Linked DNA regions of Anolis sagrei. The protein of the gene in region 1 interacts with the protein of each later gene in a pairwise test. Links are inferred from orthologs where the notes say so. Each region holds a gene or a part of one and is shown on either strand. Other genes may lie near its edges.

The links.
Region 2: the proteins of LMO2 (region 1) and IFT43 interact in binary tests that used the Homo sapiens proteins (3 or more experiments, as listed by UniProt). The two-hybrid records come from large-scale screens. The link is inferred for Anolis sagrei from reciprocal best matches to the Homo sapiens genes LMO2 and IFT43.

The regions. Positions count from the first base shown.
Region 1 is NC_090021.1:268,079,705-268,087,609, forward strand, and holds the start of LMO2 (rhombotin-2), read right to left. Parts: upstream 3,029-7,905; 5' UTR 2,469-3,028; coding exon 2,428-2,468; intron 1-2,427. UniProt on the Homo sapiens protein: Acts with TAL1/SCL to regulate red blood cell development. Also acts with LDB1 to maintain erythroid precursors in an immature state.
Region 2 is NC_090021.1:305,624,358-305,631,708, forward strand, and holds the start of IFT43 (intraflagellar transport protein 43 homolog), read left to right. Parts: upstream 1-4,232; 5' UTR 4,233-4,254; coding exon 4,255-4,365; intron 4,366-7,053; coding exon 7,054-7,137; intron 7,138-7,351. UniProt on the Homo sapiens protein: As a component of IFT complex A (IFT-A), a complex required for retrograde ciliary transport and entry into cilia of G protein-coupled receptors (GPCRs), it is involved in ciliogenesis.

The DNA.
Region 1 (7,905 bases):
GCACCTCATCAAAATACAACTCCTAGGATCCCATAGCAATGGACCATGGCAGTCAAAGTAGTTTTCAACTGCATTAATTCCACAGTGTATAGCTCTTGTTGTGGCTGATGCACAGAGGCACTTGTGATCAAGGTTTTGTTGTGACCCGATGCTCGCATTATGAATTTTATTAAGCTAACCTTAAGAAATGGGACTACAAAGGAGTCCACAACATCCGAGTGCGGAGAAGAGCAAACCACAGACCACCTACTACAGTACAACCTGAGCCCTGCCACATGCACAATGGAGGACCTTCTCCCAGCGACACCAGAGGCCAGCTTCTGGTCAAAGGACAGTTAGCATAATGCCAAGTTTTAAAACTTTGTGTTTTTAAATACATTGTAACTGTACCCTCAACTCGCTTCTGACACAATAAATAAATAAATTATGAAAAAGTGGATGTTGACCCTACATCTGATCATCTGATAGCATCCTTTTAGTCAAGTCAGCCTATTAAATTGGGCTGGGAAGGAGGAAAAAGAGCCTGAAAACAAATTCTAGTGTTTGGAAAGTACTATGATCTGCTTCCTCACCTCCATCCACATAAATCACTTCCATAATTTTGTTGAAGGCTTTCATGACCAGAATCACTGGGTTGCTGTAAGTTTTTGAGGCTGTATGGCCATGTTCCAGAAGCATTCTCTCCTGACATTTCAACTGCATTTATGGCAGGCATCCTCAGAGGTTGTAAGACCTCTCAACCTCTGAGAATGCCTGCCACAGATGCAGGCGAAACGTCGGGAGAGAACTCTTCTGGAACATGATCATACCACAGCAACCCAGCACTTCCATAATGATCAGTGTGGGCACATCTTTACTATAGTACTAATGCCATTTGACAGTACCTGAACTGCCATGGCTCAAGGCTATGCACTCCTGAGATTTGTAGTCAGGTGAGGCACCAACACTCTTTGGGCTGAAAAGGCAAAAGACCTTGTAAAACAACAACTCCCAAGATCCCATCACACTGAGCCATGGCAGTTAAAATAGTGGCAAAGTGCATGGATTCTACACTCTAGGTACATCCTGAATCTCTCAACCAAGGCAGCGGATGACAGTGAAGGGAAAGGAGAGCCATTGACCCAAATGTCTTCTTCTTCCTTGTCCCCACTTTTTCTCTCATCGGGGAACCCATAAGACATCAAAAGACTTTTGCTTCCTATTGAACCAGCACCAGAATAACTATAGCTGCAAATCTCTCTTTGCTTTTGCCAGTATGCCTTTTTTGCATCAAAAGGGCCTAAATGCCATACAAAGTCACCACATTCACACTGATCTTCGGCTCAAAAGGGTCAGGCCCAGTTAGGACTTGGAGGGGAAACTAAGGGAAACTTGGAGGGGAAACTTGGAGGGGAAACTAAGGAATTCCAGGTGCTGCAGGCTATATTCCAGAGGGAGGAAGAATATGCCTTGCCTAAGAAAACCCTATAAGGTTGTTGTAAGTTTTTAGGCTGTGTCGCCCTGTTCCAGAAGCATTCTCTCCTGACGTTTCGCCTGCATCTATGGCAGGCATCCTCAGAGGTTGTGAGACTTCACATTCTCTGAGGATGCCTGCCATAGATAGCATTCAGAAGAGAATGCTTCTGGAACATGGCTATAGTAATGGTAAAGGTTTTCCCCTGACATTAAGTCTAATCCTGTCTGATTCTGGGGGTTGGTGCCCATCTCCATTTCTAAGCTGAAGAGCTGGCATTGTTCATAGACACCTCCAAGGTCATGTGGCCGGCATGACTGCATGGAGCACCCATGGAGCTGGAGCGGTACCTATTGATCTACTCATATTTGCATGTTTTCGAACTGCTAAGTTGGCAGAAGCTGGGACTAACAGCGGGAGCTCACTCCGGTCCTCGGATTCGAACCTGCGACCTGTCAGCAAGTTCAGCAGCTCAGCGCTTTAACCCATAGAGCCCAAAAAACTTACAACAACCCAGCAATTCCAGCCAGGAAAGCCTTCGAAAATGCATAAAACCCTATAGGGTCGCCCTAAGGTGACAGGTAACTTGACGGGACACACATATATATCCACACTGGAAGTCCTCTTTGCGGTCCTCGCTTTCCCTTAACCACTCCATTTCCCTTTTCCCTGAACTCTAAAGTTGTAACTTACCGCAATCGTAGGCATTTGGGGACTGAAGGAAAGAGGGGAAAGGGGGTCCGAATGCGTCCTTCTCTTTGCTCCCTTCCCTAGCTGCACTTGGCAAGCCCAGTCGCCAAAGGAGGACCCCAAAACCGGGGATCTAGGCAGGACAAGGGCGGACCTCCCCCTGGAGAAGATGGGATTTCTCTCCCAAAGTAGGACTCCCCAAAGTATGCCCAGATCCCCGAGAAAAAGGGAAAGGCGAGGGGGAAGGAAGGAAAGAAGGAAGGCAGGAGGGAAAGGCCACTTACTCGGAGGGCTCGAGGCTTTTCCTTTCGATGGCCGAGGACATTGGCAGCTCTGGCTCGGGGTCACCCCACCCGCGACCACATCCACGGGGCTCCCTTCGGGAAAGGGAGAAAGAAGAGGAAGGATACAGGCAGGCAGACCAAAGGAGCCCGGGGCGTGGGGAGGCGGCCTTTCGGGGAGAGACCCTTCTTCCCGGGAGCCCGGCGGGCTTTCAGCTTCCCATCCTGGCCAGGCGCTTGGTCCTTGCCGCGCTTCGATCCCGGGATGAATCCTCCTCTCTTTCTCTCTCTTTCCCTTGCTGCTTTAGGCAGCGCTCAGCATCCCTTGCTGCTCCTCCTTCTCCGCCGCCACCACCATCAGCAGCAGGACAGCGGCTCCTCCTTCATCTATTTCTTCCTCTTCTTCTTCTTGCTGGTCCCACTTCTGAAGCTCTTCTCTCTGTGTCTGTGTCTTTCCTTCTCTCTCTCTCTCTGTCTCTCTCTCTCCCTCCCTCCCTCCGAGCCGCTCTGCTTTCACATCCTCTTTCCTGATCACGACTCCAATACAATAGAAGGAAATGACATTTTAAAGAGACAGCTGTCTATTTCTTCTTCCCTGGCCCCCCACCCCTCCCTTCCCCCGGGAATAATTGCAGCCGACGCATCTCTCACGACGACCGAGGCGGGCGCCTTAAAGGGCCAGAGCTCGCCTTTCCCTGCCCTGGCCGCGCAGGGTGGTTGCATCTCGTTATTTAGGACTCATATTTTACTTGATAGTATGGGTAACCGCTGGACTCAAGGGCCGCAGACCTTTGCTAAGGAGGAAAGAAAGCGGGCTTTCTGGGGAGGGAAGCGAGGCCGGGCTCTCCAAGAGGCAAGCGGGGCACAGGGAAAGTTGTCTTCTGCCCAGGGACAGCATACACATCTCTACACAGGTAGAATCGGTTTTAGGGGCCGGGTTGCGTTTATTATCAGATAGGACTTTCATCAAAATAGGATTGTAATGTCTCTTCTCTCTGCCCAAATAATTATTGTCTTCCTCCTTGGCTAGTCATTAAGCCATTTGCACATTGTCCTTTCTACTTGTTAAGCAGTGACAAACACTTTACCTGTCCAAAGGTGTCTCTCCCTATGAACCATCAAGGACTTTAAGATCATCTGGGGAGGCCCTGCTCTCGGTCCCGCCACCATCGCAGTCGCATTTGGTGGGGACAAGAGACAGGGCCTTCTCCATGGTGGCCCCTCGGTTGTGGAACTCCCTTCCTAAAGAAGTTAGATCTGCCCCCTCCCTGACTTTTCACAAGACACTTAAAACTTGGCTGTGGAACCAGGAATAGTTAGTAAAGTTTTTTTTAATCGCAATTTCTTCCTTTAATACCATCTTCCCTTTGTCTACTTTTAATAGATCTTTGTAGGTGGGCCACTTTTGCCAGCCTAATTCTCATCTTTGAAAGGCTTCTAGGGGTGACAGCCACGTTGGAGTTTTGGTATAAAATTTCAATTTATATTTCTCTATGGTATTGGCCGGGGATGGACAATGGATTATGGGACTTGCAGTACCTTTGCTCAATTCCTGAGACCACTGCAACCATCATCCAATTACCGACAAAGACCAAACTTGGCAAACTGAGTCTCCATGACGCACTCTACATCCTGCTGTGGTTTGGAGGAGGATGCACCATGGACGATGGGACTTGCAATACATGCACTTCCTTCCTGAGACCATTACAACTGCCAACAATGATAGATCAGGATGACAATTTACACAGAGAGCCCGCATGACCCACTCTACATCCTGGTGCAGTTTGGAAAAATTTGGAAATGGATGATGGGACTTGCAGTAACTTCACTTACTTCTTGAGACCACTGAGACCCTCGCCAATGACTGATCAAGACCAAACTTGGCACACAGAGCCCCCATGACCCACTCTACATCCTGGTGCACTTTCAAGGAGGACAGTCCATGGATGATGGGACTTCAAGTACCTCCACTCCCTTCCCAAGACTGCTGCAACCCTCATCTAATGACCAATCAAGACCAAACTTGGCACACAGAGCCCCCTTGACCTACCCTACATACCAGTGCTGTTTGAAGGAGAATGGACGATGGATGATAGGACTTGTAGTACCTTCACTCACTTCCTGAAACCACAGCGACACTCATCCAAATACCAATAAAGACCAAACTTGGAACAGAGATCCCCCATGGCCAACTCAATATTCTGGTGAGGTTTGGGGGAGAACAGACTATGGGTGATGGGACTTCAAGTACCTCCACTCACTTCCCAAGACTTCTGCAACAGTCATCTAATGACCAATCAAGACCAAACTTGGCACACAGAGCCCCTATGACCCACTCTCCATCCTGAAGCAGTTTGGAGGAGGATGGACCAGAGATGATGGGACTTACAGTACCTTCACCAACTTCCTGAGACCATTGCGAGCCATATAAATAACTGAGAAAGACCAACCTTGATACACAATTCCTTTCTCAAATAACCCTGGGCAGCGCTGGGTCCCCAAGCTAGTATTAATCATATTAGTCATTATTAGTAGGACATTATTTTTTAATACTGGCAGCCAGATTTTGAAGCAGCCAGGTTTTGAGCCTGCAGGGCCATTAAGTGCTAATCAAGGTGGTCAATTGCAACATTCACACCTGTCTCAAGCAAACAAGAATTAGATTATATTAGTCACTATTAGATATTATTATATACACATATATATTTATTATATGTATATGTATGCATATATCTGTGTGAGTATGTGTATATATACACATATGCACCCATGTATACATATGCATATATGTATATGCATATATATGATTAATAGTATCTAATATATACACTAATGTCTAATAATGACTAATAGAGTCTGATATGAGTGTAGACGTATATGACTGATAGCTAATATCTGAGAATGACATTCATGTGGATACAGATGAAGGCTTGAGCAGGCACATAAAAGCCAGTAATGGAAAGAAACCGCTATCTCATCATCTTTTCCAGCCTCTCCCTCGCTCCCTTCTTCACCTCTCCCCTCCAGCGAGGCAGGAGGATAATTCACACCGTGGAGCGAGATCTGCTTCGTGGTGGAAATCCCCTTAGAAGTGCAGTGACAGCAGTGCCAGGCTGGAGGTGCGCCTGTCTCTCAAGTACAGGCGGGGACAGGGAATTAACTGCTCCAGTGGCTCCTGGATAAGTTACAGCTACTTAAGCAAAGGGAAGCAGGAGATCAAAACCCACTCGAATGTTGGTGACATGTACCATTCCCCTTGCAGATATGTCCTCCCCAATATGTAATGCAGCAGGTGGTGATGAAAATTTAGCGCATTTCTAATTGGGTTGTTGTAGGTTTTTTCGGGCTATATGGCCATGTTCTAGAGGCATTCTCTCCTGACATTTCGCCTGCATCTATGGCAAGCATCCTCGGAGGTAGTGAGGTCTGTTGGAGCTAGGAAAATGGGTTTATATATCTGTGGAATCATTTCTAATTGCCTAATTTTAAAACTGTATCTGTCTTTCAGCTTCTGTCCAAACTCTAGGGGAATCTCAGGGCAAAGTGTCAGGGCCTCCTCCAAAAGGCATTGGTGCCAAGTGGACAAAGACCCTTCATGGCATGGGCTATAAAGGGAATTAGGTTTAGCCTGCCTTCCTGGTGCCCTTTTCAAAATGCAGGTCACTAGTCACACTTTCAGAACAGTAACTTCCTTCCAGGCTTGTAGCCGGGGTGGAGGGGGGTGTAGGGGTTCAACCCCCCCCCCCTGAAATTTTTCAAGTTAAAAAAAACACCTGGTTTACTCATGAATTTTAACTGGTTAACCAAATCCTAATGCTAAGTCTATGAGATGCAAAAAATTAAGAGTCCCTCCAGAACTGCAAGCACTATCTCAAGCAAATATTGACAATTTATTCACACTGTCATTACTTGCAGCAATAGCCGATGTAGCGAAGCAACCAAGTTGGGGGGGGGGGGCTGAATGCCAGACTTGGTGGAGGTGGTTGACAGGGGCAGAGCTGCAGGCTATGGAAGGCTGCTCTGCCCCCTGCTGTGCTCTTTGCTTCAGCGTGACCCTAACCCCCCCCCCCCATGAAATTTTCAACCCTCCCTGAAATTTTCAACCCTCCCCAAAATATTTTTCTGGCTACGGCCCTGCTTCCTTCTGACCCGGAAGCTCTTCCTATTCAACTTTGATTATATCTCCAATGGATAATCTTTGGAGAAGGAAGGGACCATTCAAATGCATTCAGATTTGCTGTCACCAATATTACACAAATATCGATATCTGGTTTCTGGATGTCTGACTGATTGCTCTATGCATGGGTTACAATTTGACCAATTGCTAAGATCTAACTACATAGCACTCTTACAATAATATAGTGTGTGTGTTTTGGAGTCTTCCCCCCCAAAACATACACACGTTGTCTCACGTAAACAGAGAATTCATAGTTATTGGAGGGGGGGGGGGATATTACCCAAAACAAAGCCTCCTCCGCTGACCGCAGTGTGTGAGGTGGTCTATATAGGGAGATGTGGTTAGACAAATAGCCTAGCCCCGAACCATTTATAAACCAAACTCCTTCTGGACAAATATATCCAAGAAAGAAAGAAAGAAAGAAAGAAAGAAAGAAAGAAAGAAAGAAAGATATATATATATATATATATATATATATATATATATATATAAACTGGGTGTGTTTAGCTGGGTTGAAAGAATTGGGCATATTCATCTTGGTGGAGTGAAGACTGAGGGATAATGTGCTTGCATTTCTGAAATACCTCTATGGCTGACACAAAGAAGAAGCAGGTCTGTTCTTTGCTGCCCAAGACTTTAGGACCAAGTCTCATGGTATGAAGTTACAAGAGGGAAGATTTCAATTTAACATTAGAAAGAACATCTCAGCAGTGACAGCAGTTCAGAAAGAGAACCAATCGCCTAGAGATGCAATGAGCTTTCCTTCTCTTGATGTCTTCAAGAAGAGGACAGCTACCTGCTGAGGGTGCCACAGCTAGACATTGAACATCATGTCTCTCGGCAATGGATGTTTCAACAATGTCTAAAATTTAACATCTCAAGACGAAACAACTTATTGTCCTCCAAAACCATCCTTGGAATGTATATTCAATGTCCCTCTTTAACCTTTGAAGAAAGCACATATCGAAACCATGGTCTTGGTTTTATTTTTGACTCTTTTATGTCCTTTCTTTCTCACACTGAGTAAGGGGTCAAACCTGATGGCCCACAGGGCGCCTTCCAATGTTTTTTTTAATATATTTTTTATGATTTTATGATTCAATCCTCAAGTTTTTCTTAAGGAGAAGATGGATGCTGCCATGCCATTCCCACCAAGGACTACTTTTCATAAGACATAGTTGGAATGTGGCTTACAGCCTTTGTGTCCCAAAAGCCAAAGGTAGGAAGTCAAAGTCAAACAAATTATACCTTCAGATTCAGAATATGCAAATATACATTCTATTTCCCATCTTATTTTATCTGAG
Region 2 (7,351 bases), about 38 Mb from region 1:
TCTACACTACTATGTGATGCTGTTTGGAACTGCATTTATATGGTCAGTGTAGACCCATATGCAGTTCAGTGCACCCCAAACTTCATTATATGTGCCTACACTGACTATATAATGCAGTTTCAAACAGTCATAGTGTAGTTCCTCTACATCAGGAGTCCCCAAACTAAGGTTCACAGGTTGGATACAGTCCTCCAAAGTCATTTACCCACCCCTGCCCTAAACTTTAGACTTAGGGTCACTCTGAGTCTGAAACAACTTGAAAGCAAACAACAACAACAACAACAACAACAAAAACAATCTTAATTAGCTTGACTATCTCATCAGCCAAAAGCAGGTCCACATTTCCCAATTCAATACTGGTAAGTTAAGTTTATGTTGGTTAAAATGATTCTTCATTTTAAATATTGTATTATTTCATGTCTATTTGTACTACAAATAAGATATGTGCATAGTGGAATCTTATTACTATATATGTGCCCTATGATAGGACTGCTGGGTGCTTCCATTCATAGAGAGCAGAAACAAAATAACTCTGTAATTGTATGGGAGAGAGTGGGTTTGCCTATGTGTGAAAGGCCCTTTCTTTGAACTTCTTGGCCTCTTTCTCAAGTGAAAGGGCCTTAAAAGCGTGTTGCCTCCATAAAACGTTGGGCATGACTGGGCAGCCTTTGACTGTGGACAGAAACAGGCAGCTGCTGAGGCTTGTGGCGTCTCTTGCCCAGTGATCAAGGCAGGCTGCGCTTCATTTATTTTATTAGGCAAAGTCCCCAAATGTTGGGTTTGAGAAAGTCTTGCTGAGGGAAGTCAACAGCGCTCTCTGGCGGGAGATGTGCGCTTCTTAAAAAGAAAACACATCTCCCAGGAGGAGCCCCTGTTTATATATAGGAGTGGTTTCCAAGAAAGCTTGCCCCAGAGCCCAAAAAAAGAGTGGGTTGGGTGTTTTGGCCTTCTGTCCTCCTCCCAGTTATTTCCAGCTGTTAAACTGCATCTTGAAACTTAAAAGCATAAGTCTTACCTAATGTGACCTTTCCAGGATATGAGAAATCTCTCTATTTATTACAGAAATAGGATACTGTGGTGAGGTTTCGTTTCAAGGCCTGTTAGGATGGAAAGATGCATATTAAAAACATCATATGTACTTGTGGCCCCCATTTATCCCTCAGGGAGACTTAGCTTTAAATACCTGCATGTGTAAGAATTCAGTTTAAGGATAAATACCCCACAGGAATAAAAATCTAAAATCATATTACAGTCTATAATTGTTGGAGTTAGGGATACAGGACTCTCAGGAAAGTGAAAAAGCATAAATAAATAAATTTGTGCCCTTTTTAAAACCCAAAAAAACATATCTCTAGGAATTGGCAACCCCACCTCTGAGCATTCCCTGTAAAATAGTTAATAGGCGATATAAAGGCACAACTACTCACAACTTTACTTGAGTTAGGGAGGAGTTGTTGGATCATGCAAGGAATCAGTGAGTGCAGTGTGTATCCACTGTAAAATAAGATGCATTAAGCTGATTGATCAGGCAATGCCTAGGGAGATGGCTGAACTTGAGACTTTTGAATACTGTTACATTTTTGTTCAGGCTTAGGCTATGCAGGGGCAGAGAGAGAAGAAGAGAGAAGCAGAGAGAGAGAGAGAGAGAGAGAGAGAGACTGATTTGCTTCTTGGCTGCTAAAAGAAGGTTGCTCACATGGACACAGAAAGGACCATTTTAAATCTCTCATGTTGTTGTTCATTTGTTCAGTCGTCTCCGACTCTTTGTGACCTCACGGACCAGCCCACGCCAGAGCTCCCTGTCGGCCGTCACCACCCCCAGCTCCTTCAAGGTCAGTCCAGTCACTTCAAGGGTGCCATCCATCCATCTTGCCCTTGGTTGGCCCCTCTTCCTTTTGCCTTCCATCTTCCCCAGCATAATTGTCTTCTCCAGGCTTTGCTGTCTCCTAATGATGTGGCCAAAGTACTTCAACTTTGTCTCTAGTATCCTTCCCTCCAATGAACAATTGGGCATTATTTCCTGGAGGATGGACCGGTTGGATCTTCTCGCAGTCCAAGGCACTCTCAGAACTTTCCTCCAACATAAAAGACATTTAGTAAGTTGATACAGCTGATCATATTGTACAGATGTTGTTCTAAATTAAGAAGAGTAAACTACTTGTTCTTAACTGTTCACCTGCATGGCATATTTTCTTTCCCTGGCAAGGCAGTATGTGGGCTGGTTAAAGATGAACTACATGTGGTTTATTTTTCATAACACCACATAGTTGAATTTTGTCTTTCTATGCTCACATGTGTTCTGCAGTTGGTGGTGGTAGGCCTAGCAGTTGGTGATGAAAGGATTAATTCAACCCTTAGTTCTAAAGGGTTGAGTAATCTGTAAGTAAGAGTTCATGGGTGAAAGCAATTAAGGATGGAGGCATGCAAGAGATAGTGTTTCTGGATATAATGAACTAGACTTGGAACTAATCTTCGGGAGAAAAGTAATTGTCTTATTTTGCTGGTAGATGCTGCTGGTTTTCCCCCAGGTTTGTGGATTTTTGGTATCCTTACTTGTCTTCAGTACTCTTGTAACCCTGGAATCTTGAATCTCTGGACTGGCTTCTGACTAGACTCTTGATTCCTGGACTTCCTCATTGAACTCTCGGCATTTGACCACTGAACTGGACCTTTTGACTACGGTGTTATCTTGAACATGCAACAGTGTTTGCTGTCAGTTTTTGTTTTATATTCTGTGGCTGACTGCTATGTTTATGTTTTATATTTTGGACTATTATAACAGCCAGAAAGTAAGTGTTGTTTTAATTAAATTGTTTAGCATAAACTGGAAGTTTGTTTGATCCATCTCTACCTTAATATGGTGTTTTGGACAACGTGCAATGCACCAATGCTTCAACCATTCTGATTTTGCCCTTATCTATAGCCAGTGTTCCTACGAGTATCCCTGTAGATCTTAAAAAGCTATTTCTTGATTGAAGGTGTTGGTGTACTGGCTGATATCCAAACAGAGGATGGGCCGGAGATGTCAATGCCTTGGTCCTTTAATTGCTGGCTGCTACTTTCCAGCGAATATCAGGTGGTGCTATACCGGCTAACAGTATAATTTCTCCAGCGTAAACATGTCTCATTAATGTGACATGTCTCATTAATAGTCACATCCACTGTTTTAATGTGCTGAGATGTATTCCATACTAGTGTGCATACTCAGCAGCAGAGTAGCAAAGTGCAAGGGCTGTATCTGGTTGTGATCCCCAGGTTGTGCCAGTCAGCTTTTGTATGATATTGGGTTGCTCTGAGTTTTCTGGGTTGCATGGCCATGTTTCAGAAGCATTCTCTCCTGATGTTTCACCACATGATATGAGGATGATATTGTTTCTAGCACCCACTTTTTGCTTGATAGTGAAGAAGTGCTTCTTGTAAGTCTTAAAGACCAGGCATGGGCAAACAGGGTTAAACCCCTGTGCCGGCAGGACTGAAGACCGACAGGTCGCAGGTTCGAATCCGGGGAAGAGGCGGATGAGCTCCCTCTATCAGCTCCAGCTCCTCATGAGGGGACATGAGAGAAGCCTCCCACAAGGATGATAAAACATCAAATCATCCGGGCGTCCCCTGGACAATGTCCTTGCAGACGGCTAATTCTCTCACAACAGAAACGACGCTCCTGACATGACAAAAAAAAGTCCAAAACACTTGGAGGGCCTAAGTTTGCCCATGCCTGCTGTAGACAATGGAGATATTGAAATAATTCAAGATTTCCCCCCATCCTTTGGTTAAGTCATTAATCAGAATGGGGATTGCAGGCAAAAAAATAATGAAAAGAGGGTAGCTATGAAGAAGTTTGTTTGACAAGTCCAAGTGAACTTGTTACTGGGGTTGCGGCTCCTTTAAGACAGTCCCGCCCAAACTCTAGTCCTCTTGGGCAGCTGGACTTCAACTCCCAGAAGCCTTAGCTGCCTTGGCTAATGAGCAGGGATTCTGGGAGCAGAAGTCCAAAACACCTGGGAGACGAGACCGGCTTTAAGGGCAGCCTGCGGTTGCTAAGGACGCTGAAAGGGGCGGGGCTTCCTCTAGGAAGCAGGCGGCTCTCCCTTTCCCTGCGCGCGCGACAGGGGGCTTGCACCATGGAGGACGACTTGGATTTGGACGAAGAAGTCTGCAAGGGGGTAAGGCCAGCCTGGGGTTGCCATGGCGACGGCGGTGGGAGGGGGCGCTTCCTCCTCGCCCAGGTTTTCCCTCCCGCTCTCTCTGCGCAAAATGGCGCGGCCCAGTCGGCCTCGGCCTGCGGAGCTCGACAGCCAGCCGTGCCTCTCTCCTCAGGCCGAGTCTCTCTGGGGGAAGGGAGAGGAAAAGAGCCAGGACTCCGCGGTGTGCTCCTTGTTACTTTTACCTTGTTGTTGTTGTTGTTGTTGTTGTTGTTGTTTGCCTTCAAATCCGGCCTAACACGACTCTGTCACGGCTTTCTTGGCAAGATTGGTTAATGGCCTTCTTCAGAGGCTGAGAGAGTGTGACTTTGCTCAAAGTCACCTAGGGTGTAGCTACACCAGGCCTGGTCAAACTTGGGCCTTCCAGGTGTTTTGGACTCCAACTCCCACAATTCCCAGCAGCCTCAGACACTTTCCTTTTCCCCCTCAGCTACTTAAACTTGGGCCAAGCAGCTGAGAGGGAAAAGGATGGGGCCTGAGGCAGTTGGGAATTGTGGGAGTTGGAGTCCAAAACACCTAGAGGCCCAAAGTTTACCCAGGCCTGATCTACACAGTTCTTCCCCAGCTTATTTGTCTGAACGCATCCGCTCCTATGTCCCAACTCATAATCTAAGACAGGGGTTCTCAAACTAAGGCCCGGGGGCCAGATACGGCCCTCCAAGCTCATTTACCCGGCACTCACTCAGGGTCAACCTAAGTCTCAAATGATTTGAAAGCACACAACAACAACAACAATCCTATCTCATCAGTCAAAAGCAGGTCCACACTTCCCATTGAAATACTAATAAGTTTATATTTGTTAAAATTGTTATTCATCTTAATTATTGTATTGTTTTAAGTGTTTTTTGCATTACAAATAAGATATGTGCAGTGTGCATAGGAATTCATTCATGTTTTTTTCAAATTATAATCCGGCCCTCCAACAGTTTGAGGGACTATGACCTGGCCCTCTGTTTAAAAAGTTTGTGGACCCCTGATCTAAGATCATCCGGGGAGGCCCTGCTCTCGCTCCCGTCAACAGCACAGATGTGCCTGGCAGGGACAAGAGACAGGGCCTTCTCGGCTGTGGCCCCCCGCCTATGGAACACGCTCCCAAATGAGGTAATTATTATTATTTATTATTTACTTTATTTGTATACCGCACTATCTCAGCCCGTAGGCGACTCAGTGCGGTTTACAACAGGACAATATACAAAGTGCATAGCATTAGCATCTAAACAATCACTAAAGCAGTTAAAACAATACAACAATACATCAGTAAATGAACAAACATCAATACATCCAATAAGGTAAGATCCGCTCCCTTTCTCCTGGCTTTTAGAAAAAAAATTAAAATTATGGTTTTGGGACCTTCGGGCAGTAGAAGTAAAGGTATGCAGCATTTCAGGAAGACGATGACAGCAACAGCAATTTGACGAACAAGACTGTTTTATTGCTTATGGAACTATGGTTTTTATTTGATTTATGTTTGAGTGTAGTGTATAATTGTAATTATTTGTACTGGCATTGAATTTTGCCATTACTTATGTGTAAACCGCTTTGAGTCCCCCTTGGGGTGAGAAAAGCGGTATAGAAATACTGTAAATAAATAAATAAATAAATAATAATAATGCACTGTAGAACCAAACCTCAGCTGATGACAAAGGCCTACTATGTTTAGGTAAGGACTTCCTTCAGGTCCAAATAGGTTTCAGTTAATTGTTCTTTTGTGTAATAATGAAGAAACCGAGGTATCAGATGAGGTAGACTTAAATCTGCGAAAGCAACCACCTTTTTGTCTCAAGATTAGTCTCACATGCCTTACAAGATCCTTTTGTAAGCTCGCAGAGTCAGTTCTCACTGTAGCTGCCATTGTTTGTAAAATCTTTTGACGCAAATTCTTACTGTTTCCTTTTTTCAGTGGAAAAGTATTTCCAATAAGTCTATTGCAGTCTGCCGTCAAGTCATTTCTGACTTATGGCCACCCTAAAATGACCTTATCACAAGGTTTTCTTGGCAAGAACCTGCCTCAGAGGCACCTGGAAGGAGTATTGCTCTGATAGCCTTTCTGACTACTGAGAGCTATACGTCGATCAGTCTTATCCAGAATCATTCAGTGGCACAGATTCAAATTTTGGTTTTTAATTTTTAAAAAATTCCTTTTAAAAAACATTTATTTTCAAAATTATTGTGAATTGCTCTGCACAAAATTATACAAAAATTCAAAATATTTTCCATTGTTAACATATGTTTACATCATTTCTCCTCTTTCTCCCCCCTCTCCTTCCCAGAAACAGTTTTCAGATTTTGCTGTACTTACTACAATGGTTTGATCATGAGGATAATCTTGTTTAATTCCTTATAATTATCTTTCCCTTTATTCTGTAAATTAAGCCTTTCCATTTTGCCTCCCATGACTTTCTGATTTGGACCATCCTGTAGTAACTTTTCCTTTTGCTAATGTAGTTTTGGAGACGGTAGTCTGCTAAATATTTAGTGAATTAGATACAAATTTTGTTTTTAAAGCAGAGGTACACTGAATTTTGATAAGATCTTCATACTCTTCTTAAAAAGATTTTTCAAAAAGCTTTTAAAGATTTTTTTGTGGAATCCCTACCATGCTTTTGTGGAACACAGTGGGGAATTGCTGATTAACCTGTCTATCTTTTGATCTGTCTATTATGTCTGGGAAAACTTTGGACAATCAGAATTTGGGACTTAAGACTTTTAAAAGCCTCAACTAACATTTTTAACATTAAAGGATTCTGGGGGTTGCAGTCCAAAACATTTGAAAAGCCAAAAGTTCTCAATCCCAACATACATTTTTGTCGCTGGACTTTTGAACCATTTGGACTCTTTGTGTTTTATGTAGATAGCAAAAATGGGTCGACGAGCTCATCCGGATTTCACCCATGATGAAAATCGTCGTAGCAGGATCAACTCTCCTCCTGTAGAGGTAGGTGTATTTAAATTGGTCAACACTGCTTACAGCCTGGGGTTTAATTCTCTAGTAAAGGGAACCAAATGATTTTTTTTGTCTAAGGTAGACATCTTAGACACAGGTGGAAATTGAGATCCTGTAAGTAAAACAAATTATTTCTGCTGCTCTAGAACATATTGTGGAATACTGTCTTTTCCTGCAGTTTTAAGTCTCTTCACATGGCTGTATC